Linked DNA regions of Tribolium castaneum. The protein of the gene in region 2 purifies or fractionates together with the protein of the main gene of each other region. This does not show direct contact. Links are inferred from orthologs where the notes say so. Each region holds a gene or a part of one and is shown on either strand. Other genes may lie near its edges.

Region 1 (4,027 bases), on a different chromosome or scaffold from region 2:
TTTTAAATCAATTGATCAGATTTTTTGTTTTCGACTTATTTTTTTAATTTATAAGTTCGTAATTGTTTAGCCAATGAGTTTGAATTCATATTATAGAAAATACAGAAGAATGTCTTTGAAAAAAGTCAGTAATAACCTGAGATTATAGGAAAAAGGGTATAAGTGTAAAATGGCTACGTAATTAAAAAACAAGAACTTCTTAAATAAATGCATACAGGGTGATTTTTAATAAATATCTTACAAAATAATGAAGACATTTAATAATATAGTGCACATTACAAAGAACTTTTTTAGGTATTTATTTAATTTTCAGAATTATTATCTGGCATTTTTAGAGAATCTGTGTTAGAACTGAGTTCGCTATTTCATTCAAATAAATTGATTTATTAAAAAAAGTTAATTATTATAAAAATTATATAAAAGTTAATTAATTTTACCAAATTCTAAATTGCAAAATAGTTATTAATGATTAGACATCTCATTGAAACTATTATTACATTAGCTATTGTTTTTTTGAAGTGCATGAATAATTTATAACAGCTAATTTTGAGAGAAAATGCAACGTTGGCATTTTCATTAATTTCGAAACAGCTAATAATCTTGCATAACGCTCCTGAAATTGGCACAAAAGCAGTCCCGAATTTACTTCCTGCCAACCTAAAAATTTTCGTAAAATGTTCCGTCAAATAATGACTAGGTATTTTGGCATCAGACTTGATGACGTTGCTCTTTTTAATATATCTCTTAAAGCATCAAAATGGCGTCAAATTACAAAACTGTTTTTTTAAGAATGTCACAGACAGGAGCGGCAAAATTACGTGGTCCTGGGCGGCAGGATAAATACGTCACTGGTTACTGACAAATTTTGAGACAAATTGTTCCATTACTTACTAAAGGTCAGAATAAGGGATAAAAAAATCGCAAGTTTGATGTATTTTTCTAATAAAAAAGAGAAAAGTTCCCGTAGTCCTTAGTTCCTTAGTCTTTAAAAATTACCAATATAAAAGTAACAAAAACGACGAGCACACTAAATACAGACACCTCCATTGTGATACCAGTAATTTATCACACGAGTCACGCATTTTTTTGGAGCGACTTCTAAATTGCATTAATTATTAAACTTTCATCTGATTTATTTCTAGTAAATGTGGTATCAAATAATTCAACTTGGCAAAACTTCACATTAAAAGAAAAAAGAACCTACTTTACCCTACCATTTGAGCCCGATAATTGCTTCTCGACAAATAAAATCAGTCAGTGCAGGTAAACGAATAGAACAAAAAAATCACCAAAAGCAGTGCTGCAAAGTTGCATTTTGTAATATCGTTACGGTAACCTGGAAAAACATAATTTTATCACGCCGTAAATGCACAAGATTGGAGATTTTTATAAGATGGTGGTTTTAAGTGACAATTATCCCAACCGGACCAGTTTGTCCCAGTCTCCCCTAATGCTTCCAGACCCACCAGATGTCTTTAATAAAAAATCCTCGCAGGTATAACGAATAAAGCTGGTAAAAAACTCAAGGGTTGTTATCTTTTAATCATGTTTGTAATGAATTTACATTTAGCAAAAGTTTTGAAACAAAACAATCGATGGACCCAGACGACCCGGGATTAAAATAGGTGTAAAAAGCCGCAATCTAGGCCCTGGTATAAAATGGTAAATTAACGAGGTGAATACCTGCCGATGACAACAATCGCCCCGGCATCAAGCATCAGGTTTCGTTATCTACTTTTTGTGTGTAATTATAAAAGTACAGTCTTGCATAAAAGAACAAGCATCTCGCAGTTGTCATAGCGACGCGGTCTGATCGAGTACAGTTGCGGCAGGATTTCGCGAAACAACACCACGGACGGTGACAAGACAGGTACAGTCAGCGAATATCGATCGCCTAATCAAGACTTTTGCCCCTCCACTCATTTAGAATGCGTGAAAAGCGAGAATGTCGCCCCGACGAAGCACCGCCGAAAAACGGAAATCGCGACAAGGGCCCCACTTGACTTACATTGGTGTTTGTCGGCGAGCTGGATCAGCTGGCTGGGCAGGTCCCTCCGGCGGTAGAAGCACATCACCTTCGCTTCCACATTGCCCGATGCCGTCTTATTCAGCTCCTCGATTCGCCGGATCTGGTACGGGGACGTCGATGACGTCTCAAAGTACACGTAATCTAAAAAACGGAAATGTAAACAATAACAGTGGACATCCTCCTCGCCTAACGGGGAAAATGACCTCTCACGGCGACCCGCGACTAACTTTTCCCAACTTTGATTCGCAAAAACGGGAGAGTAATTGGGCTGGCGAGGCAGCTCCTTTTGTTTGATTAAAAGATACCAGGTGAGATAAAAGGTTGAGCACCTGGCGTCACGACGGGACACTCCAAAATAATTACCAAAGTGTAAAATTACAATCGGATGGCTTTATTAATAGTCCCGTCGTTTCGACAAAATCGCGAGCACGCAGCGGCGCGAAAAATCACCACAATTAGATCCACCTATCGAACCCCGATCGCAATTATCAAACTGGACTACTCGAGAGAAAGACTTCCTCTTGAGCGAAGCCGGTTAATTAAATCACCAAACACTCACCTCCGACACGATACATGTTAGCTGTCATCTTCAAACACAAAAACGATTTACTCCTAACAGTAATACTACGTTAATACGACACACATTTTAAATAATTTCGTCGAATTTCTTCAATGTTTTGTCAGTACACTAAACACCATCAAGCCAACAGACGCCATTTTCTCAAATCAAACTCCCTGTTGGCGTCTGAGCAAAGAATCACACACGATTGTTTACACCAACGCCAAAAGAACTCTCAGCGGCCAGTAGCAGAAACATTGCGACGATAAAACAGAAACATGCAAAAAATACGCAAAAACTGGCACGTACAGCGTTGCCAGACCCACCGATTTTTCGGTAGATCTAACGATTTATCCAAAAGTCAACATTTACAAAAAAATGTAAAAAATCAGTTTGAAAAATATTTTCACGACAATAAAGATTAAAAAAATGATTGAATTTTTATTCCACGTGTTGATTGCTTATTCTTTAAAAAAAATGAAAATAATAGGAACTGCAAAGGCTACAGATTTTCCAGGAATTTAGCCGATAAAAAGCAGGGTCGTCTTAAGCGCGGGTGCAAGGAGGCACCCTGGCGGCAAGTTAAAGTATTAAATATGATTTTTAGTTTTTATTTTATTCTTTATGTAAACCATTTAAGCCATTTAATAACTGTGTAAGCTTGATAATAAAGTACTGAAAAGACGCAAATTTCGCTGCCAAAAATTCTTTGGAGGTGATCAATTTGTTTCTTTTGTTCAGGAAATTACGTATTTTATTCTGCTTCAACACTGCGATAAAAAATAACTTCTAACATCAACTCTGAAACCCCCTTCAAATAAACGATGGTAACGCAGGACTAATGCTGCAAAAAATCTTCAATTTAAAAAAAGTGTATACGTCATTTTTTCTAATTCAGATTTGGATAGTGAAACAAAAAAAATTGCAAATTCTTTTTAACTCTTCAAAATAATATCATATAAATTACGTGCCTGATACATTTTACTACAATTTTTTTTTAAACTAGGAAAAAATTTTCAGATTCTCCCAGATGTTATTAAAGTAACTGTGCTTAAATGTTGAAAGGCGATAAACCTTTTTTTAGATAAATGGAGAATTGTTATAACAACCGAAAATAAAAAGCTGTTTTTTTTGTAAAAAAAATAAGTGATAAGGGCGGCACTTAAAACTTTGCACCATGGCGGTTATAAGCTAGAGACGGCCCTGTAAAAACCCCACTTATTAAACGTTACAATAGAAAATATTGATTATAATAATCCAAGAAATTATCTTTTGCTCGAAGAAATGTATTTTGGGACAAATGTTGCAAAAACTATTTCGGAAAGCAATTTTTCCTCTGAACAGTCCTTGTTGAAAGTTGCAAGCAAATACATACTACAGATTAAAAAATTAAAAAAATAATTTTTTAGACCCGAAAATTGTTGACTGGTGTTTTTTCC
Region 2 (3,955 bases):
TCATTTATTGACAAAATTGCAACAAATCTTAGTTTCCCACATAAATATGTATGGCGAAAAAGACCAAAGTAATGTCATTCCCTACCTTCATTTGTGATTTTTTTGGCCTGTTATTCTAGCGAATTAATGCGAATTACTATGAGTAAGTGGAAAAAAATCAAAGTGACGTAATATTCGATAACTTTATTGATAATCACTTGCTCTATTTGAGCGAAATTTCAACAGAAAAGTGAGAAGTGTGCTTAAAAGCAAAAATAATATATACCTAATTATAGGTAAAATAATAATTATGTGATATGTTCGGCATTTGTACTTCAAATTTTACAAAAAAAAAACGACCCAATTCTAGAAAAACTGATCAAAATAATTCACATTATTTTCGACCTTTCGCTCAAAATTCACGTCATTTCCGACGTATCAAATAATTTCTCATCTTGTTTTAACAAGTCACCGTAAGCCCACCGAAAGGAACGACAACTATCAAGATCATTCATTGGTCTTCTGACAAAGTTTTGCATATTTAAAATAAAAATCCGGTATTTCAAACGTAATTAAATTATTTTTGGCGTTTTAATGCAGTTTTACGAAAAAAGTAAAATCATCTTACACTTGTTTAATACTTACTTGTTTAATAATAAAAATACCGTAATTTTCTACGTAATAAAGAAATTGTTCAAAGTGTTTAACGAAATCATACAAACAACGAAATCATAATAAAGAAAATGTTCGGAGTGTTTAACGAAGTCATACAAAAGTGGTCATTTCACAGTGAGTTTCTCGCTTAGATTACTAATGATTTTTGGTCCTGTTGTAACCAATTTATGAGAAATAGGTATGTTTTTAATCAAAATGCTGAAGAAAGGCAAAAATGGATATTCGATGTCCACTGATAATCCTTTTTAAACCTATTTAAGCAAAATGTTAAATTGATTGAAACTAATAAATAAAACTAGAACTAAAAATGTCCAAAGAATATATAAATTTCAGAAAATTACCGAGTTATTAAAGCAATTGTGAAAAAAAAAACAAAGAAAATCACTCAAAACAAGAACAAAAAAGCCAAAATAAAATCATTTCCGATCTTCATTTTTGTTTTTTTTTTTTGACAAAAACAAAGGCAAAAGTAATATAAAACTAAGCAAGAAAAGTGAATTTTTACCTTAGAAATGTGTTTAAGTAGGTATTAAAAAAAGCAAACACATTCTTTGCCTTTATTCGATGAGATTTCTTAAAAAAATGCTTTTCATCTATAAAACGACTTTAAGTTAGCTGAATTATTCAGAGTAATACAATTTTCATCCTTTGTTGGAAACTTCTGACCGTATTAGAAGAAAATTTTACAACAAAATATTTAAGTAATTCTCGACATATAAAAAATGTTTCGAACAGTTTGCTTTAATACTTATACACCTCTTTGTATTTTACTAACCGTATTTGCAACGTTTTAAAAACATTTCAATAATGTTTTTCCCCTAGAACAGCACATTTTTCTCAGACAAATAGTGAACCGGTTGAGTTTAAATTAATTTAAATGAAACCAAAACGATGCTATGGAGCACTGATGCTCTGGGGGACTAAATTTTTGGTAAAAACATCGAGTTATTTTGTATCTCGTTTCGCCCCTTTGTCTTATTTTTAGAATACTCACCGTATTTGTGGAACGAGACTGTCATCACCCGGTCAGTGGTGTAAAAAGCCTCTTCGACACCGTCACCGTGGTGCACGTCAATATCGATGTACAACACGCGTTGGTGGTACTTCAACAGCTCCAAAATCCCCAGAACAATATCATTTACGTAGCAAAAGCCCGAAGCTTCGGATTTTTTCGCGTGATGCAAACCCCCGCCCCAATTGATGCAAATTTCGGACGCTTGCTTGTTCAATTTAACAGCTGCCGCCACTGAGCCCCCAGCTGAGAGTTGGCAGAATTCGTACAAACCGTCAAAGACAGGACAGTCCTCCCCTACATTAAACCTCTGCATTTGTTTGTTGTACTCAGACATGTTGTCAGGTCGGATGGATCTGAGAAATCGAATGTAGTCATCCGAGTGAAACTTGGTCATTTCTTCGGCAGTGGCTTTATGGGGGCGCTGGGAAAGTCAAAACTAAATAACACCAACAATTCATGGAAATTAAATACTCACATAAATCTCCATTTTTCTGTACAGACCATAATTGAGCAGCAAATTATGGGTCATCCTTATGCGGTGGGGCTTCATGGGGTGTCCTTGCCCATAATAGTAATTCCCAATATCGCCTAACAATTCAAAATTATCAGAATTGAATCAAAATTCACGATGGACTAATAACATTCGCCATCGTAACACCGTACAAAAAAGCGTCATCATCTCATCATAAACCAAGCTAACCAATCAGCACCGAGCAAAAATACCGCGACCGTAGTCTACCGTGAATTTCCAGGCTTACGGTTTCGAAAATCGTATTTACATGATAGCACGATACGACACAAAATTAAGCAAACGCATGCATTTTGTTGGCAAATTTCAAAAACAAACGCCCCAAAATGGTGGAATAATTCATGTTTGGCTGAAATTGGTGGCTACTTACTGTCGTAATAGTAACAAACACGTTTCCGACTGTGAGGTTGTGTGGCCATCTTGTACTGTAGAAAACTAAATTGTTTTTAATTACTTTGGCTTTAATTATTACAAATCACTGTTCACTTTGTAACAATTTGTTTAAATTATTAGAATTACGGCGGTAGCACAACACGCCGCTTTGCAAATGGCACCGTTGTTCCCGCAGCAAGGACGCCAACCTAGCACCGGTGGCGATTTAGTGTAAAGTTGAATTTCCCTACTAAAAAATAAACAGGGTGATTCTTTTCGTTTTTGCATTGTAATGCCACCATTAAGGCCGTAACAAAGCTTTCTTTTTCATTGTTGGAGTTGATTCTCCTAACTTAAAAAAACTCTCCTTACGTAGCGCCATCTCTTTTCTTTAGAAGAGTCCTTAAGACCATATCCACAGCTTCCTTGATTAACGAAGGGAAAGTCCCTTGACCCTTCATTAATCAAGAAAGCTGTGATTTTCAACCGAAGGGGTCCCAAAAACGTTGAAGACGGTTTTTTACCAATGTTCGAATAATGGAAAATTAAATAATACCTGAATCGTAGAAGATAATTCACCACAACTTTGTTCCTTAGAACTGTTTTTTCTAACTACACCGCTAATAATGCCACATTAACTAATGAACAAAAATCAGCTTTTCATACAAAAATTCTCATGAAAAAGGAAGCCTCTACTGTAAAAAACTTATTTATCGAAGAAAACAACAATTATATGTTATGAAGATTGGTTAGCAGTTTTCAGTAGAGCAAGTTCTAAATTCTTCTTTACACTTAGTTAGAAATAATTAAGGGGTTGCATTCCTAAACATTTTTCCCTTTACATTCGAAACTGAGAAATTCTTATTTCTTGCCTTTAAGTTTTTCAGGTTTTACTAAGATAATTTTACCACAAAAAAACAAAAGTTGTTTGGGCTTAATCTACATTTACTTGACGATATTTTAAAGCAAATACAATGTTTAACTATTAGTTTATCACAGAAACAACGAATATATTTTCAAAACTTTTAGTGAATATATTAAAAAAACAAGACGTGATAGACAAATGTGAGATATATTTTAGTTATTACGTTATTAGTGAGTGAGAAGAAAACAAAATCAGTATAAATTATTTCTTGGTAAAAGAAAAAATTTTTTGTAAACTAGTTTAATTATCATAACTAATCATAGGACCGGTTTATAAAAACGTCATTAATTTAATCAGTTATAAAATGCGTGATTAACTGATTACGTGACCAAATTGAAGTCATTTGGTTGGTTCATTCGCGTTGTTAACTTTTAACAACGAATTCAATTTTAACAGAGCCTTTTATAAACCGGCCCATAAATTTAAAAAAATTAATAATATTTGAGAGTTTAAAGCAGCG
Region 3 (3,946 bases), on a different chromosome or scaffold from region 2:
CGAAAGATGTTTACACGTCGCCATCATTTAATAATGGGACGTCTGTTATTATTGCTCGATAGGGGCTAATGCGCATAACGTAATCAATTACGCTGATAATGGGCGTTAATTTTTGTTCTATGAAAAGACTGAAGAGCTGGGTTAAAACTCGTTTGAACAAGTGTGACGGTTTACGTCTCTTCGAAATTTGTGTTTTTTTTTAAATGTGATTTAACCAAGTTTCATTTTTTAACACACGTGTGAAGACTTCCATTTGATTAGTTTATAATTACAAATCACGGCAATTAAACTTTTCACTTTTCGAGTTGAGAGACATCTGGTTGATATTATTACACTTTTGTGATAAGATTAAGAAAAACGTGTTCGTGTCATGATATGCTGCTATTTTATTACATTAATCGAATTCCTAACAATTACCTACCTTTTGTTTAATTAATAATTTCAGAAGATATTATGAATATTGTATTTCCGTGAAAAAATACAATGTTTTTTAGACAAAAAATATATAACCCATGATAATAACCGGTAAGCATTTTATTTAACATTCCATTATAAATTGGTTTCCAATAGAAATTACATTTTTTATTACATGTAAAACCAATTTTCATTTTCCAATACCTATAATTGTGATTATGTAAATTAATTTTTAACAATTTGCCATTTTTATCCTCTATCCACCGCTGTACAAACATTATTTCTGCATGTTATTACTGTCAGATCAGTTTTTGTAATTATCTCTGACCTTTTTCTTACAAATAAATAAATATACACCGTTAGTAATTATTATAACGTTATAATTTAAAACATACATAATAATACCTAAATTAAAAACAGAGACAAACTCTAATTTAAATAATTTTACTACCTATTTATTTGGTAGATAAATGAATAATATTAAAGTAGAGCACAATGTGACACATAATTACAGTTTTAATAAAATTCGCACAGACTACTCTTATGAAACACGTCCTACAGATTGAATAATTATCAAATTATTTCCCTCGTCTTACCTCTGAAATTTTATATAAACATGTTCATTCCAGCACGAAAATGTTATTCAAGAATTACTAAAAATCGTAAAAACAAAAATCTAAACTAGTATTTGACAAAAAAATAATTTGTGGAAATAAACATGTAAAAAAGCTTTTAAAAATGTAATTTGACCATACTGTTTTTTACAAGCTAGGAGAGCAAAATGATGACTTTATTTCGACATAACCTCAAAATAACATGTTACGTAAACAAAATCCAACAACATTTCGTCCATCATAGTCAAAACCACTGATATTTTTAAAGTTTTAATATAAGATTCGAGGAAAATTTGCAACAATATCGGCAACAACGTTCATGGAACATTTCTCGATCCCATGTTGAACATTTTCAATTCAGCTGATCCGCAAAACGACACGCCCACTTATTTATTTCTGGCATAAACAAAACCGGTAGCGTTTATACGAACTGCTACGCAGTTACTTATCGCGTCATTCCGGACAATAATGGCGTCGGTATTTCTCCCCGGAAAAAAAAACAAAACAAAACTCAGGGTAACAATTCTTATCATTTTGGCACTCGTGAGATAACCAAATAAATAGTCCATACCCTAAACCATTTATGCAAACAGTAAATCAACTTTCACGGATGACCTTGAAAAGGCGCGCGTCAAAGTTTTAGAAAGCCCGCATAAAAATCTCGTCACGTGTCGGTTTCTGGTGGCCATTTTTCGGCATTTGTGTTGTGGCAACGTTGCCACACCTTTGTGCATGAGTAATTTGTGGCAGTGGCAACGTTGCGTGTCGACTTCGCTCCCGCGATCTAGCAAGCTAGGCTCGCGATTGGCCAATGAAGGAATCGATAGGCGAGTGGAAGGGCAGGGAACCGGACGTGCGAGGCGCTGCGACCGAAGCGACCCAAACACGAAAGTGCATAAAGCCGAAAATCGGACGCGACTCTTTGTCAGTAAACAAATACAAAATGTTGCATCGAAATTTCGTAATTACCGAAAGGTCGGCAGATTTTCGGCGGAAAAGCGTTGCCAGGCCGACGAAATTTCCACGGAGGGAGAGTGCCGGCCCCCGCGACGGAGGCTAATTTTGGAACGCCGACGCCGAAATCGCGGAAAAACCATGGGAAATGCTGGAAAAGCGGCGCCGAATTGGGAATTGCAATTACACAACACTTGTGTCAATGTGAAAAGTTAAAAATATGTCACTCACCTTACAAAAGCCTCTTTCGCGGAAAGCGCTTCCGTGCGGACTGGTGCCGGGGATGCACCGTACAATTGCAACCGATCCGCGCTGATTTCACTGGGAAATAATTGGAAAACACTAGAATTCATCAAAAGAAAATTCTGACACATTCTGTTCCGAACCACCCGAAACGATGACCGATTGTCGACTGACTGGCTGCTTCAAATCTCCGAGCTTGTTTGGACGAGTCCATCAATTTCGGGTGGTTGGTCGCTTTGCCCACTTTCAAATTTTTCAAGTTTTTGATCACCAAAATGCACAAAACCTACACACAAACATTACGACGTGCCACAGGATGAGCTCCCAATTCCAGAAAAATTACACTTTAGTCATATTGTGGATTTTTTCAGTTTCGGATACTAGCGACCGCCCCTCGAATCAATTGTCTGATCCGTAAAAGGTTTGTTTGATGCTTGCTCTGATAGTTCAATGTGAAGAGAACAGTGGCGCTGTTATCGATTTTTAAAAATACCCGCCAAAGAACAATGTAGTGCCCATTTTCGGATTAGTTGAGCGTGTAGCAGATGTAAAAGTTTTAAACTGACCTCTGACTGTTATTAATCTTATTAAGCCGGACATCAAGATTCAAACTCTTTTTGTGTCTATTAATTATTATTAATAAACTACACCTAAACATTTTTATTACTATTAAAAATAATTATACCTACAAGAAATTAATCAACTAAACAATTTCTAAAAGTATTCGTGCCAATGATTACGTGGCTGCAGAGGCTAATAAAAAATATAAAATTAAATAAAAATCTGAAAACAAGTAAAAAACTTGTCTATGCAATTAATTCATAAATCCACTTTATGTTGAATATACATCCAGTGAACATTACTGCATAACACACACCTCAAGAAGACACATTTTAATTACTAATTATTAATTTAGTCACTCTCTTCGGCAATAAGAACCACAATGAAAAATTAAAAAAATAATAATAACTGAAGTGAGTGTATAAAAATAGTTGAAAATCACATTTTTGGATTCAAAACATCAAAAAAAAACACACACACACACACACACAGTGATGCATGGAGAACATTGGAAATTTAAAACAGGTCATAAATTCCATTTAAAAAATTATGTAGCAATCTGAAACTTGAAACAAATACCATATGCTAATATTTAAGAGCTTTTGAGCTTTTTGAGAAAGATAAGAGTTGAAAAAAAAATAAATTCACTTGGTTTATTGTATTTTGGGTTGCCCACTTCAATCAGTGCTTCTATTCTATGACAGACAATAAATAATTGAAGAAAATGGGGTCACGTTTGTGCTCCGAGTCAAAACGGCTCCAATACACTTCTGATAAACTTGTAAAAAATTACCGTAAAAAACAGAAACATCCAATTAGTTAGAATTCAACCCAAATTAATCCAATTATTATTCCCAATTAGATAATTCTTACAAAAACTAACTGTATTATTGGACCGTTTGGTTATGTATTTTATCGATTTAATTTTACATTATAAAAACCACGGGATTATAACTGTGAAAGATTTTCGGTTCAAATAATTTTCATTACGGGAAATACCATTGGAGCAAATACTATCAGCCATCACTATCAGCATAAGCCCAATTTAGCCAATCAGAAGGTAGAAACGTGTCATTAGAAAATTATGAACGTCAACCAGTTTTATTTTGAAGAAAGCGAGCCGCGAAAATATTATTCTTGCCAGTTTATTCCGAAAAAGT
Region 4 (4,251 bases), on a different chromosome or scaffold from region 2:
GAAGAAATTTGATACATGTTGAGTGAGTTTGACCGTAAATTACTCAAATTACTTTTTTGGTTTCATTTGAAAAAAACAAATAAAATTAAAAATATTTCAACATATAATAAACAAAATGTAATAAAAAAGTCTTCTGAGCCAAGAAAAACATTTCTAGCCAAAAGAGCTCAAAATACTCTATATGATTTTATTATTAAATTATTATGTTTTAAGTTTCATCAAAGTAAAATTAATGAATCGTAAATTGTCATTTTTTATCTTTTTAAACCAGTTAAATTTTTATTATTTAATCTGAAGTAGGTAATGCTAAGATAAGATAATTAAAAAATGTGGCTACTTTTTATCGTAAAGTCTACATTAGGAAAAATATAAACAAAGTGATATTACAATACTTTAAAATTTTTGTATGAATATCAACGACATGATTAATTTTGCTTTGTTTTATGAATTATTTAGAGATTATTTCTGAAATTTCTTTAGATGCAACCAAAAATACTAATTACACTTACCACTGAATATGCGTTTGATTTTTAATAAATAATTTTTATATTTTTAATAATAAATAAAAGTAGTTCATAATGAAATTTTAGCAAAGACAAAGTTGCCAATGCAATCGTGGATTTATTTTGAAATTTCTAAGAAAAGTTGCTTTAAATTTGATGATTCATTACTGCAACTACGTGTAACAAGATGAGAAATTTGCATTTTCTTACGACGTACATGTTTTTACAACAGCAATTATAAATGCTAAGCAGTTAAAAAAACATAATACAAACAATTTAGAAAAATGTGAGTTTGTTCAAAAAACATCTAGTACATAAATACAAATTGCATAATGAGTTTCATAACTAAAAATATCACGCCACATGTCATATGTCCGTATTTTAACAATTTTTTTGATTACATACAATCTAATGGTTTCGAGTTGAAGTCAGAAGTGTTCTTTATTTAACCTTTTTTATGCAAATTATTCCATTCACGAATAATCTGGAATCAAAATCTATCTCTTTTTATGGCTTTGACATTAACATCCGGTAATTGTAAAAAATAATTAAATTAGGACGAAATGTTCTCTTGTATAGGGTGTTCCAAGTATTATGGCCGAGGCAAAAATAAATATCTCTAGTCGAGTAAAAAATTAAATAGTTTAAACGATAGGGAATTAATTGAGTTACCACTTGATTTTTTTATTGTTCAAAATTTTTAAGGTATTGCTGTGAGACATGTAACTCGTGTCTTTTACTGTTACATGATAAAAAGTTAAATGAAGTGAAGAAACACAAACAAGGTGTGAACAAAAAAAAGATTTTCCTTTTTTCATTTTGGTTACGAAATGCACTCAGTTGTTAAGCTTGATGCAGTTTTTTTTTGTTGGTAATATTTTAACCGTTCTTTTTGATATCTGAATCCTACATTATAAACACTATTTTAAAACACGTTTCCGATAGCAATTTTAAAACACTCTTCCCATAGCAACGTAAATTAATATGTTCCAACAAAAAAAATTGAATAACATTCATACGAAAACGCTTAAAGTTCTTGGGTGTCTAGCCCTCGAACTTTAAGTTTGTGTTTTCGCACTCGTATTATTAATAACTATAAATAATCTGTTTAGTTCAATAACAGTGAAAAATAATAAATAAAGCTTAATATTCAAAGTCAGTTTTTTTTTATTATTTTGGAGTAAATTTTTTTACACGACGTTTGAAGAATGCATTTCCGTTCTGTTGGTTTTTCAACATTTCTTATCTCAATGTTTACACAACTGAAACATTAAGTCATCGTCAGTTTAGACGACGTCTGTATTATTTTTTACCAAGCTTCACATTACTCCAAATTAGCACAACTCTATATCAAAGCCCCCAAGTTGATTAACCATTTTTCAAGAAATTAGTGAACATCTGCAGACATTTCGACCAGTTCATAAATTATAAATTACGACCTTGGATTACTTTATTGACTCCAAACCGTAATAATAAGCTTGTAAAGCTTTTATTGTCAGTCAATCGTCAAACCCGTTTCGTCTATTATACCATAACTTCCTCAACATGTGGCACTTGGCAACAATAATGACGACTTACAGCCCCAACCCCCATTTCTTGACAACTTTTATTGAAAAAAACCGAAAACGGCGTCCTAATTAACCCCACGACTTCCTCCCCGAAGCTCCTCAGCCGTGACTCACGTCTTAGACCGGAAGGGGTGACAGGAAACCCCAATTATGTAAGGAAATACCCCTTGAGTCACAAACCTTATCAACAAACCCATCGCAAACTGTCGATGGAAATTCGAGGTTAGCTCCGCCGGGAGCCCCCATTTCCCCCACCAAACAACCCGAAAAGGATAATCATTTTCAAGGATGAAAACTCACCCGACGGACTCGTTTTTTTATAATCCTTTCGGCGGCATAAACATGGTCACCAAGTTCCATTGTTATGGCTGATGGGGACGCATAAAAACTCCGAAAATTATTGCGCACCAGATACTCATCTAAGTGCACAACCACAAATCGAACTCAGCTTTTCTCAGCATTTTCCCGAGAAAAACAATACGGAGTTTTCCGCGAAATTCACAAATTGCGTCCACAACAACTCACTCACATCACATTGGCTTTGGGGAATTTGACGTGCCCGGTTGGATGCACTGTGCGCGCAGCGCAAAGATATTTTTGGCGAAATTAATTCATTTCGCGATTTACAAAAGGCAATCACACATAATCTTCAAGTAAATCACCAGAAGTTTGCACAAAAAGGACTTTGGGGATGTTCTTGCGGTTATCGCACTCGCTTTGCAGCACTTTCCACCCCTCTGGGATAATGGACTCGTCCAGCCGACCAAATTTTCAAAATATTCTTCCAACATTTCAAAAAAGTCGAATATTTTTAGTTAAATTTTTTTTCACGCGGGTTTTATCACATATACATGTTTAGTGTGTCTATAAGGTTACATAACAATTTTTTGTCCACAATAATGTTACTTGCTCATTGCCTATAATTATGATAATTTTTTGGTTCGTGAAAGAATGACAAAGTTGTTAGCAGTAATTTATGTTTAAAACTTTATCTTTTTCCCAGTATTGCCAATAACTGATTGTTTACTGAAAAAAAAATACATTTTTTGCGGCTTTCCCGGGATTTCCCAATTGTGAAGATTAAAAATGCAATTTTAAATCCTTAATAATTTAAATAATTATTCCAATAGCTATCAATTGATATTAAATTAAACTTCATCTTTTTTCAGATTTTATTTTGCCAAACTAGATTTTTGTACTGGTCCACTGTAATCCCTGACACTTGTTTGAGATTTGACAATTCCCTAACCTAGGAATACAAACCGGTTGGCTTGAGAGTTGAGTTTTTAGTGCAAATAAGTTCAAAACATGGCTGGGGCTTCGAAAAAGTCGCGAAAGGTCGCGAAACCCGCCTCTGATGAGGAATATCAAAGTGACGAGTCCGGGAGTTACCATGGCCAACAAGTGGGTACAGTTTTTGGGGTTATACTTATGACACGTGCTCTTGTAGGAAATCCAAGCGACTTTTGAAGGCCGAAACCCCGAAGGCCAAGATTTTCACGGCATTAAACAGTTACTGAATCAGTTATTTTTAACTGCACATGTTGATTTGGGCCAAATGAGTGACATGCTTATTTCTCAGGCTGGAATTGGATCTGTTTTGAAGCAAAGTTTTAACGATAGCGACGACGAGGAAGATATTGAGATGGTGGAGGAGTCTGATGTGTTTGGTATCACCAGTGTTATCAATCTAACGCAACACAAGGTGGTTGTGTTTATTTTGCAACCTGGGGATAATAGGGGGTTTTCAGGAGACACCATGTGTTCAACAACTGTACAAGTTAGTTGATGATGAGGTTACGAAACAGGCGGATCCTGAAGCTAAATCGTTATTTAAAGAAATTGTGGGAAACAATTCAAACAAAATTGGTTTTATTATCAATGAGCGGTTTGTTAACATACCATCAAAAATCTCCCTTCCTATGCTACACGCATTACAAGATGAAATACACAGAATGGGGAAGAAGAATGACGGCTATAAGTTTGATTACTATTTAATGATTTGTAAAAACTGGAAGTCCAAAAGCGACGGTAGTGAAATCGTCTTCTCAAATGATGAAGAAGAAATCTTCTGGAAGAAAGCTGACTGTAGGTTTGAATACAGTGTGGCCGGAAAAAGTGACACAGGACTGACGGGGAATTGGCAAAGTGAAGATAAAGAGTTGATTCCACACAGAGTA
Region 5 (4,147 bases), on a different chromosome or scaffold from region 2:
TTCTCACAGATGATCTAATACGAGCACTCGTTCATAAAGAATTAATTTTTGCATAACAGACATTGCAATATTCGTAAAACCAATAAAAAATTGTAATTGAATTCGCTCCATCAACGAATGTTTCTTTACTTTCGTTCTTGAAAAAGTTATCAAATAAGGAAGTTAAATTCGTTTGTGAACCCTGTAGTTAAGATTAATGTTTGGTAGTTTTTTAAGATCCATCTTTATTAATAATTCTTAACAGTTTTTATCATACTTTGACGAGCGTTTCGGCATTAAAATGCCACCATCAGCTAATCTATTATTATAATTACACAAGAAAAATACTTCACATTATCTCTACCAATAGACGATTAACTCTATTATATATAAGTAGGTAGACATTATTTTTATAGAAATTTAGTCAGTCTAAATACATCAGAATATATCCGGAAAACACTGAAGAGTCGAGAGTATACAGACAGAAAATACCGCCACTTATGTGAGAGTATGAATTTTTTACTAAAATTTTTGGGTTTTTTAATTTATTCACAGGATAAAAATTTTATATTCGTTTTTTACATTAAGACATTAAAATGTGCTTTGATCAGTTACTATTTTAATCGGAAGGACAAACAAAAACTTTCTGCAAAACGTAAATCATTTTGTTGAAAGAAACTTGGGAATAAAGTACAGAGCAGATGAAAACTCCGTTTACATTGCTTTTTTTGACGAATTTTCTAACGCTAAAGTGGGGGTTGCACCCTCTTACCTCAGAAACTAAATATTTAAGTAAGACAGGTTGAGTTATTTTAACTTCTTTTGACCTCTACTATTATCATTCATCTCTTTAAATATGTCCGTATTTTATATTTTCATTTTTATTATTAAAGTGGAACCTGTTTAATGTTTAATACTAATTTTTTTATTTATTGTATAATTGACAGACACATTATTTGATGGAAGGAAGTCTTATTTAGTTAATTCTGGCTTTGTCAGAAAAATTCCTAAAGCAGCAAATAAAATTTTTATTTAACAAAATTTAATAATTGTTATTATGGTTATGGTTATTAATAAGCGTTATTTTATTGTGCATCTGTTTAAAAATTTTGTTTTTTTTTTAATTTAAAAATTTCTCGAGATTCAAGAAGTCTGGAGAATTTCCAGCCGAGGATTCTGCGGTCTCAAGAAAAAAAAAAAGTCGAGACATCAGAAACCCTAAGTTTAACTTTTATAGCCTGCCTGTATAAGCAGTTGTGTTGGCTGTAACAGATTAAAAAATTCAAACACTGTTCACGTTCTGAGCTAATCTCAAAATAAACAAAAAATGAAGTAACTGCTTCCAATAAAATTAAAAATAAGTGGGCAACTATGTGTACAGACTATGTAATAAATACATTCGAAAAATATAGAATCATCAAGAATAAACGTTAAATATACATAGAACATCGATCAATACTATTAAACGATAGAAAGAAAACGTGAAAAATAATTCAGAGCAAAAGAAAAAAAAAGTACATGTGAAGCGTACACTAAATAAGCAGGAAGACAATTCGTCCCTGTTACTGCAATTCGTCGAATTTCAAACATGTTCAACTTTTCAGTTACTGTTTATTCCTGAGTTGTCAACCCAGATCTAAGTCGTAAATTAAATCGTTTTATGACTAAGCGGAGACCAATTTAGCAACGTAGAGAAGCTGGATTTGATTATTATAATTTACAGGTTTTTTTGGAGTAATTAAGGTTCTCGAAAAACATGATTCTGCGATTAAAAAAAACAATAGAAACAAACTACTTTCAGTCCATTTTTTTTTAAATTCCTTAATTAAAAATGAAAACGTATTTTAAATTAGCATTCAGGGAAAAAGACACCCCTTCTCGTCTAATAGCATTTGCACTTTTTTGTTGAAAATTGCAATTGGCTAAAAAATCTTACGTCTCCACTGTCATTTCTCCGTTTCTTCTTTTTCTTCTTGCCCTTCTTCTCCTCGCCTCTTGCTTTCCGCTTTTTCCCCTTTTTCTTCTTTCGTGCATCCTCCGGTTCGTAGTCATCATCCTCGTCCTGTAACTTCTAATTTAGCCAAATAAAAATACCTTGAATTAAAAATATTACTCCATGCTTGATTGGGGCTTCGTCGGACTCGGGCTCGTTGTCGACGGGATCCCCCGCAGCTTCCTCCTGAGCCTCCTCCTCCCCTAATTACCAAAAATAAAATCATGTGTACGCCATGTGGACAGTGGTCAGCGTGATCATAACAAAATTTTGGAGGGAAAATATGAAATTTCTAACCCCAAAACCTCCGAGACATTTATCGCGGAAACCTTTAATTTACAATCTGCCAATCTCTTTGTTTGATGGCCTCCATTTTGTTAAGGGTCAGGATATGCCCGCGCGCTGTCACAAAAATAATGAAAACCTGCGTCCCCCTTTCCCCGCGCCTAATATAACTGATTACCAGGTTATAATTATTCGTCTTTGCGGCCCTCTGGGCCCCCAGCCGCGCGCCCGGGGCCCGCGGGGGGCCCGCAGAGCCGGACCGAACGGTGTTTGGCTTAATTTCGGCACTTAAAAGTAAAACACATGAATATCAAGTCGGCTTAGATTCGCACCTATGCACCGGACGGAAAACAAACTTACCGGCGTAAGAGTCCTCGACCTCTTCGTCGGAAGCCATCACGCGGGCCACTCAACGACAATTGCACTAATTGTTCACTTTTTATTCAGGAAAATCCACAAGAAACAAACTTTACACGGCTTTTCTTGGATAGTTGTTCTTTCCCTCACTTCACTCTTATCCCCTTTCCTAGACAATGCTGCCAACGGCGCATGTGTCACAGAATTCTCGAACGAAATAACCAACACTCGTCGCGTCTCTCTCGCTCTTATTAGTTTTTCCCCCAAAATCACACCTGACTTTGATTTTTTTTTAATAGAGGAAGAAAAAAATAAAAAACAATTAAGTAACACCAAACATTTATTTCAAAGGAAAATACGACTGCAAAACCCCCTCATAAATCACATGATCCTGGTCCAGAAAAATACAAAAAACGACTCTCTCAACCTCGCTGTTTTTTTCCAAAAATTTGCGCACTTCCGAGGCGGCTACATGTGCCGCAGGCTCGTTGGGGTAGTCGTAAATCCCGGTGGAAATGCACGGGAACGCCACAGTTTGCAGTTTCCTCTCTGCCATGATTTTAAGACAGTTTCGGTAGCACTGTTGCAAAAGGCCCGGTTTTTCGCCCCTGGGCCCCACCGTGTGGATCACATCTGCAAGAAAGCGTGAGTCTTCAGCCACCAATGGGCAAACGTACATTTCGCTGGTAGTTTATAGCCCCCAGTTATGACAGCGTCTCCGGTGGGGCACCCATTGAGAGTCTTGCATTCGGCGAGCAAATTGGGGCCAGCGGCCCGGTGGATGGCCCCGTCGACGCCGCCGCCGCCCAGGAGGGACGTGTTGGCGGCGTTCACAATCGCATCAATCTGGAAAATAAATGTACTTTCGGGTGAATTTAAATAATTAAGTACCTCTAAAGTTGTGATGTCGCCCTGGAAAATCGAAACCTTCTTACAGAGAGAGCTATTGAGGGAACTGTCGATTTGGAAGTCGGTCTTTGAAGGGATTTGTGGGGCGAGGGTCGCTTTTTTGGCGTATTCCTCCCAAGTTGGGATGTCTGATATTTGTTTGTATTGCTTTCCGGCGTAGAATTTTCTTTTGGCGTCCAGGGGCATAGACAGAAATTTTTCTTTGTCTTCCTTCCAACCGGCCATTTTTACACTTGCAACACTTGCAAAAGTACGAGTCTTCACCCCAACGGTTATCGCCGTTAGGATTTTTTCACAACAAAACATTTTACAGGTTAGGTTCCCCTTATTCGTAGGCAACCAACAATACATTTTAATACAAAAAAAAAATAAACGCGCGATTGAATTGAATTTATTGTTAATTGCGTTAATATATCATGAGTTTCCACTAAAAACATTACGATTCTTTTTGTAAAAAACACTTGTTTGAAAAAGGGCGCGTTTTCGCATGAAAGGGCCGTTTAGGTAGTGTTTGTTCACTTGATATGTTTACATGATAAGATTATGGATGTAGTCATCTAATGATTACAAAATAAATAGAGGTAAATTATGCTAGCGCCACGGTTGGTCTAATACACACACTTC
Region 6 (4,295 bases), on a different chromosome or scaffold from region 2:
GCGGCCTGAGATAAGGCTAATAGTTACATTTGCCTCAGTTTCAAGTAATCATCGGTCAAAACTCGTCGGGCCGTGCGTTTAATTGTGATTGCAAGATTCCAAAAGGTAGGAAACCAAAATCGTTTTAAGGTTTCGGCAAATTATTCTTTATATTTCAATACATCAGCGTTGTTTTTTTAAGGAATTGGAAATTTAAGCTGTGTCTCAAAATATGTAAAATGTGCGTTTTTCGTTGTCGCTTCTATGTTTACAAATAAAATTGCGTATTATTCTCGTAACATGAAGATTAATTAATTTTTTTCAATTTTAATTCAATATTTGTACAAATGGAAAAATGTTAATTACAAATTAAATATTTTAAATAGAATTTAATTGCACAATTCATGTATTAATATGTACCACCTATGTGAAATGAAAGTTATGTGCTAAACTGCGAGTTTAAAATGAAAATGGAAAAAAATCCGCGAACAAAAGTGCATTTATGAGTTTTCACTAATGATTCACTGCAATCGCTGAGTGGAAAAAAGTTTTATAAACATTAAACCCTCTACTCTCAAATTATATAAAACAAAATAAGAATTATTTGTTGATATATTGGTAACGAAAGAACAATAAAGAACTTGAGATTTTGACATAGAATGGTTAGTGTGAAATAATATTTTTTTCATTAGCCTACAAGTTGTAATTTTGCGACTGTTCTTTTGTGGTGCAGTAATTCTTAAGAAAATAATTTTTCTAATTCGTCAATGAAAGAAAACAATTGAAGTCAATTAAGTATGCGAAAACATGTAACAACTGTAATGTAATTTTTGTTTTGTTTCCTCGAAAAAAATTAATTCTTATGCAATATCAGAAAGAATTAACTTGAATTACAATATCTCAAATAAATAAACACTGTGGGTGTGCCTTGATACCGCCTCGTATCAGCTGCCATTTGCGTCTTCGAAGATAAGAAAACGTTGAACAAGTGACAAGAGGTGCGACCTTATCGCAGATTCTACCCGCGAGATGCAAACAGATACTTACCTCTTCGTGTCTGCTAATAATAAAAATAATAATAATAAATGAATATTGCGCTTGGTCATTAACCGCCAATAACTTTTTCCTAATAAAAAAATTAAAATTATTACGTCGGCATCAAATCGTTTAGATCGGCGAGCGTGTTTCTCAGGTGGTGGTTTGATCGCCATTCGCCCCACAATCCCGTGCGGTTTATAGTCTTTATCAGCCTTCTCGCTTTCCTCATTTAAGGGTGATGTCATTTTCTAGAGAATTACAGTAGAAAAAAAAACAAATCCAGAGTTTTACTTACAAAATTCAAAGTTTTGCCTTGTTTGAAAAGATCAAACGGGTAAAGCAACCTCTCATAGTGCGTTTTTAGAATGGTCCCTATGCTCTTACCAGATGGGTACCCCATAGAGACCGAAATTTTCGACCACTTTCTGTCTTTGGTTACTTGGTCAAAACCACCTAATAAGCAAAAGTCCAACAAAAAATTACCCAGCAATTTGTAATTACCTTGACTTTGAACAATGCTGTGCAACGTGTACAGGTCAATACAGCGTTTTTCTACCATTGGGATTTTCAGTGTGGAACCTTGCAGTTCCCAGAATTTGGCGATTTGGTCGAGGAAGTTTAATTTGACGCGAGTTTTAGCCTAAGGTAACAGAATTAAAGTCGAACTTTGCTAAATCGGGGTAATACCTCTAATTCGTTAAGTCTCTGAATTCGTGGCGTAAATCTAAGTTTGTCAACGTCAACGGCAAAGGGCGGTTGCCAATTCTAGAAAACATATTCGTATTAAACCTCTATCAAACATGGTGGCTTTGCAGCCATAGAACCTCATGTTTCACTTGATTGCTAATGGAATTCTAAATAAAAATAGCCGAGGTTCCTGAGAGTGGTTCAAAGTCTATTCGGGTGCGAATTGATTAACAAAGTCGAAATAATTTCGATGGTCTCTTTTGTGACTTACTGGAGGCGGTTTGATCTTGCAAATGCCCGATCCCTCAGCATACTTCCTGATCTTGTTGATGTACTCGAGCGGATCGTTGAATTCCTCCTCGGTTGGGTGGAAAACGGGAGCCTCCGGTGGAGGCTCGAACTCGAAACACTCTTCTTTGTAGCCACAGCCCGAGTCTTGCTTCGGGCTGGTGTTTTTCGCGTGGTTTTTAGTAGGACTGGTGGGTTTATCCACTTTTGTAGTCATTTTGGGTAATTTTACATAATTAAGTCCTGGAAGAAAAACACGATGGACTTTTCGCACCGAGACACGATGGAAGTCACGGCCTAATCATCAGAGCTCGGGAAAAGTTACTTTCCAGAAGATTAGCGAGGTGCGATACCTGGCCGTCACAATAATCACGTTTTGTTATTGAAAAGGGGGCGATTTCACCCGATTCGCGAACCCCACACTTCCCGAACCCCGTTGGGACACTTTTTACACCAACTTGCCCGAATTTCGAGTATTTTTTTTCATTCTGAACCAACACAACAACATTACATGTAATAATATCCCCACCAGCCGTCATCGATTGCTTGAGGATCTTGTGAATAGCAACATAACAAAGATGGTCTACACAGAAATTTATAAATACACACGAAGATTCGAAATTCGGCCTCCGATTACACAAAACACCCCATTTCCTACTTACACCACGCACTTTGCTCCTAGTTCAGCCTCAAACACCTCCGTCCAACATTTTGCACCATAAATACCAACTTTTAGGTTAACTAGAAAGGTACGTGACGCATAGCTAACCAGCTAAGGCAGCTATTCCATAGAATATAGAACAGCAATCGACATGACCAACAATTCGCTGGCTTACTGTGCAGCAATTATTTCTGGGGCCTGTATTATTGGTTGCATAGCACTTAGGCTGATGATTGCCGTTGACCTTTATGAATTGTCCATTCTCGTTAAAAGTTTAATCAGATTTGTGAAATGGAGCACTGCTTTATTATTACGTAACAACAGGAGTTTAAACCCGATATTTTAGATTTATTGCTGCTTTTGCAAAATAATAGAAATGAACAGTGGCGGAGGTTTGACTATTGCGAAAGGGGCGGGGTTAGATTTAATTAGGTCATTGTCTGCCAAAACAAATTTTCGTTCAAACCTTGAAATTTATCATTTGTAACAACTCTATGTGTGCATTTTTTGTTTTATAAATAATAATATAAAGCAATTGTTTAGATTTTAATGATTTAGAAACAATTCCTAGATAACCACTATTTAATACGGCATCATGGATTGTGTTTGAAAAAAGTTAATTTAAATCTAATTCCTCTTCTACACTACACACAATTTTAAATCACCCTCTGCTCTGCAGTACTACAATTTTCTAAGTAATTTAATAATTCTCCCTGAAATTTATAAAAAGACTTACCAGCAGAAATTATGAACTTGAGCACTAGAACTCAAAAGTCCACTATTGGCGGCATGTTAACACCTCTCTTCCGTTATTAATCAAAATATTTGTGTCTGTATGCGATAGGAGAAATACTTGACTTATGAATTCACCATAATTGTGCGATTTAATAAAAAATTGATTAAGACATATTTTTGAAATTATTAATAGAATTTTAAACTGATTTACATTACATTTGATTTTTTATGTACCTAATTAATTTTTTTGGTTAATTTTCAAAAAATATTTTTTCTCAAATTTTAAATGAAACACTCGAGTTTAAAATCAAAATTTTTAGATTTATTACTTACTTTTCAAAAAAAAAATTTAATGAACAGTGGCGGAGGTTTGGCTGTTTGTTTGGCGTTAGGTCTTTAGGTCATTACCTATTAACACAATTTTTGGTATAAAAAAAATAAAAAAAGTAATGCAATTTCATGTAAATTATAAGCACCACCTGTGAACCGGTAGCGAAACCAAAACCGTTGTGCGGGAAATTTTTAAATTTTAAAGTAGACACGCCTCATTCTCTAGAAATTCTGTGCATTTGACTTTTTATGTAATTAATTTTTGGACTAATGAAGAAGTATTTGGTAACAATTTGTAATTAAACACAAGGATGATATTTTTATTTATTTAATCAATTTTGTTACATACTTTATAATAACAGAGTATGTGATGTAACAAGCAATCAAATTGATCAAATTCATTAGTTTTCCTTGTTTTCTTCGTCATTTTTCTCCTCCAATTTCGGCTCTTCTTTCTCCTGTTGATCCTCCTTTGGTTTTTCCTGCACTTCCTCTTGTTGTTCCTCCTGCTGTTTCTCCTGTTGCTCCTCCTGCTGTTTCTCCTGTTGCTCCTCCTGCTGTTTCTCCTGTTGCTCCT

The links.
Region 1: the proteins of HDAC1 (region 2) and MTA1-like fractionate together in Drosophila melanogaster (co-fractionation; 3 studies listed by BioGRID, with this or other methods). This does not show direct contact. The link is inferred for Tribolium castaneum from reciprocal best matches to the Drosophila melanogaster genes HDAC1 and MTA1-like.
Region 3: the proteins of HDAC1 (region 2) and Sin3A purify together in Drosophila melanogaster (affinity purification with western blotting; 3 studies listed by BioGRID, with this or other methods). This does not show direct contact. The link is inferred for Tribolium castaneum from reciprocal best matches to the Drosophila melanogaster genes HDAC1 and Sin3A.
Region 4: the proteins of HDAC1 (region 2) and polycomb group protein Pc purify together in Drosophila melanogaster (affinity purification with western blotting; 3 studies listed by BioGRID, with this or other methods). This does not show direct contact. The link is inferred for Tribolium castaneum from reciprocal best matches to the Drosophila melanogaster genes HDAC1 and Pc.
Region 5: the proteins of HDAC1 (region 2) and Mi-2 purify together in Drosophila melanogaster (affinity purification with western blotting; 5 studies listed by BioGRID, with this or other methods). This does not show direct contact. The link is inferred for Tribolium castaneum from reciprocal best matches to the Drosophila melanogaster genes HDAC1 and Mi-2.
Region 6: the proteins of HDAC1 (region 2) and Kdm5 purify together in Drosophila melanogaster (affinity purification with western blotting; 3 studies listed by BioGRID, with this or other methods). This does not show direct contact. The link is inferred for Tribolium castaneum from reciprocal best matches to the Drosophila melanogaster genes HDAC1 and Kdm5.

What each region holds. Positions count from the first base shown.
Region 1 is NC_087396.1:14,172,158-14,176,184, forward strand, and holds the start of MTA1-like (metastasis-associated protein MTA3), read right to left. Parts: upstream 2,801-4,027; 5' UTR 2,617-2,800; coding exon 2,589-2,616; intron 2,390-2,588; exon of another isoform or gene 2,233-2,389; intron 2,171-2,232; coding exon 2,009-2,170; intron 1-2,008.
Region 2 is NC_087394.1:10,698,296-10,702,250, reverse strand, and holds the start of HDAC1 (histone deacetylase HDAC1), read right to left. Parts: upstream 2,801-3,955; 5' UTR 2,618-2,800; coding exon 2,569-2,617; intron 2,258-2,568; coding exon 2,145-2,257; intron 2,091-2,144; coding exon 1,649-2,090; intron 1-1,648. UniProt on the Drosophila melanogaster protein: Catalyzes the deacetylation of lysine residues on the N-terminal part of the core histones (H2A, H2B, H3 and H4).
Region 3 is NC_087396.1:24,661,653-24,665,598, forward strand, and holds the start of Sin3A (paired amphipathic helix protein Sin3b), read right to left. Parts: upstream 2,801-3,946; 5' UTR 2,214-2,800; intron 2,134-2,213; 5' UTR 1,998-2,133; intron 1-1,997.
Region 4 is NC_087395.1:14,257,104-14,261,354, reverse strand, and holds the start of polycomb group protein Pc, read right to left. Parts: upstream 2,801-4,251; 5' UTR 2,432-2,800; coding exon 2,372-2,431; intron 1-2,371. Other genes in the region: protein BCCIP homolog, read left to right, coding at 3,380-3,475, 3,522-3,776, 3,823-4,251.
Region 5 is NC_087395.1:15,688,995-15,693,141, forward strand, and holds the start of Mi-2 (chromodomain-helicase-DNA-binding protein Mi-2 homolog), read right to left. Parts: upstream 2,801-4,147; 5' UTR 2,655-2,800; coding exon 2,618-2,654; intron 2,176-2,617; coding exon 2,093-2,175; intron 2,051-2,092; coding exon 1,916-2,050; intron 1-1,915. Other genes in the region: macro domain-containing protein CT2219, read right to left, coding at 2,955-3,247, 3,292-3,460, 3,506-3,874. UniProt on the Drosophila melanogaster protein: ATP-dependent chromatin-remodeling factor which acts in nucleosome-remodeling by catalyzing ATP-dependent nucleosome mobilization. Involved in regulating transcription. Plays a vital role in development.
Region 6 is NC_087403.1:6,553,770-6,558,064, reverse strand, and holds the start of Kdm5 (lysine-specific demethylase 5), read right to left. Parts: upstream 2,801-4,295; 5' UTR 2,655-2,800; intron 2,236-2,654; 5' UTR 2,210-2,235; coding exon 1,976-2,209; intron 1,783-1,975; coding exon 1,705-1,782; intron 1,658-1,704; coding exon 1,519-1,657; intron 1,471-1,518; coding exon 1,313-1,470; intron 1,266-1,312; coding exon 1,131-1,265; intron 1-1,130. Other genes in the region: UPF0746 protein DDB_G0281095, read right to left, coding at 4,120-4,295. UniProt on the Drosophila melanogaster protein: Histone demethylase that specifically demethylates 'Lys-4' of histone H3, thereby playing a central role in histone code. Does not demethylate histone H3 'Lys-9', H3 'Lys-27', H3 'Lys-36', H3 'Lys-79' or H4 'Lys-20'.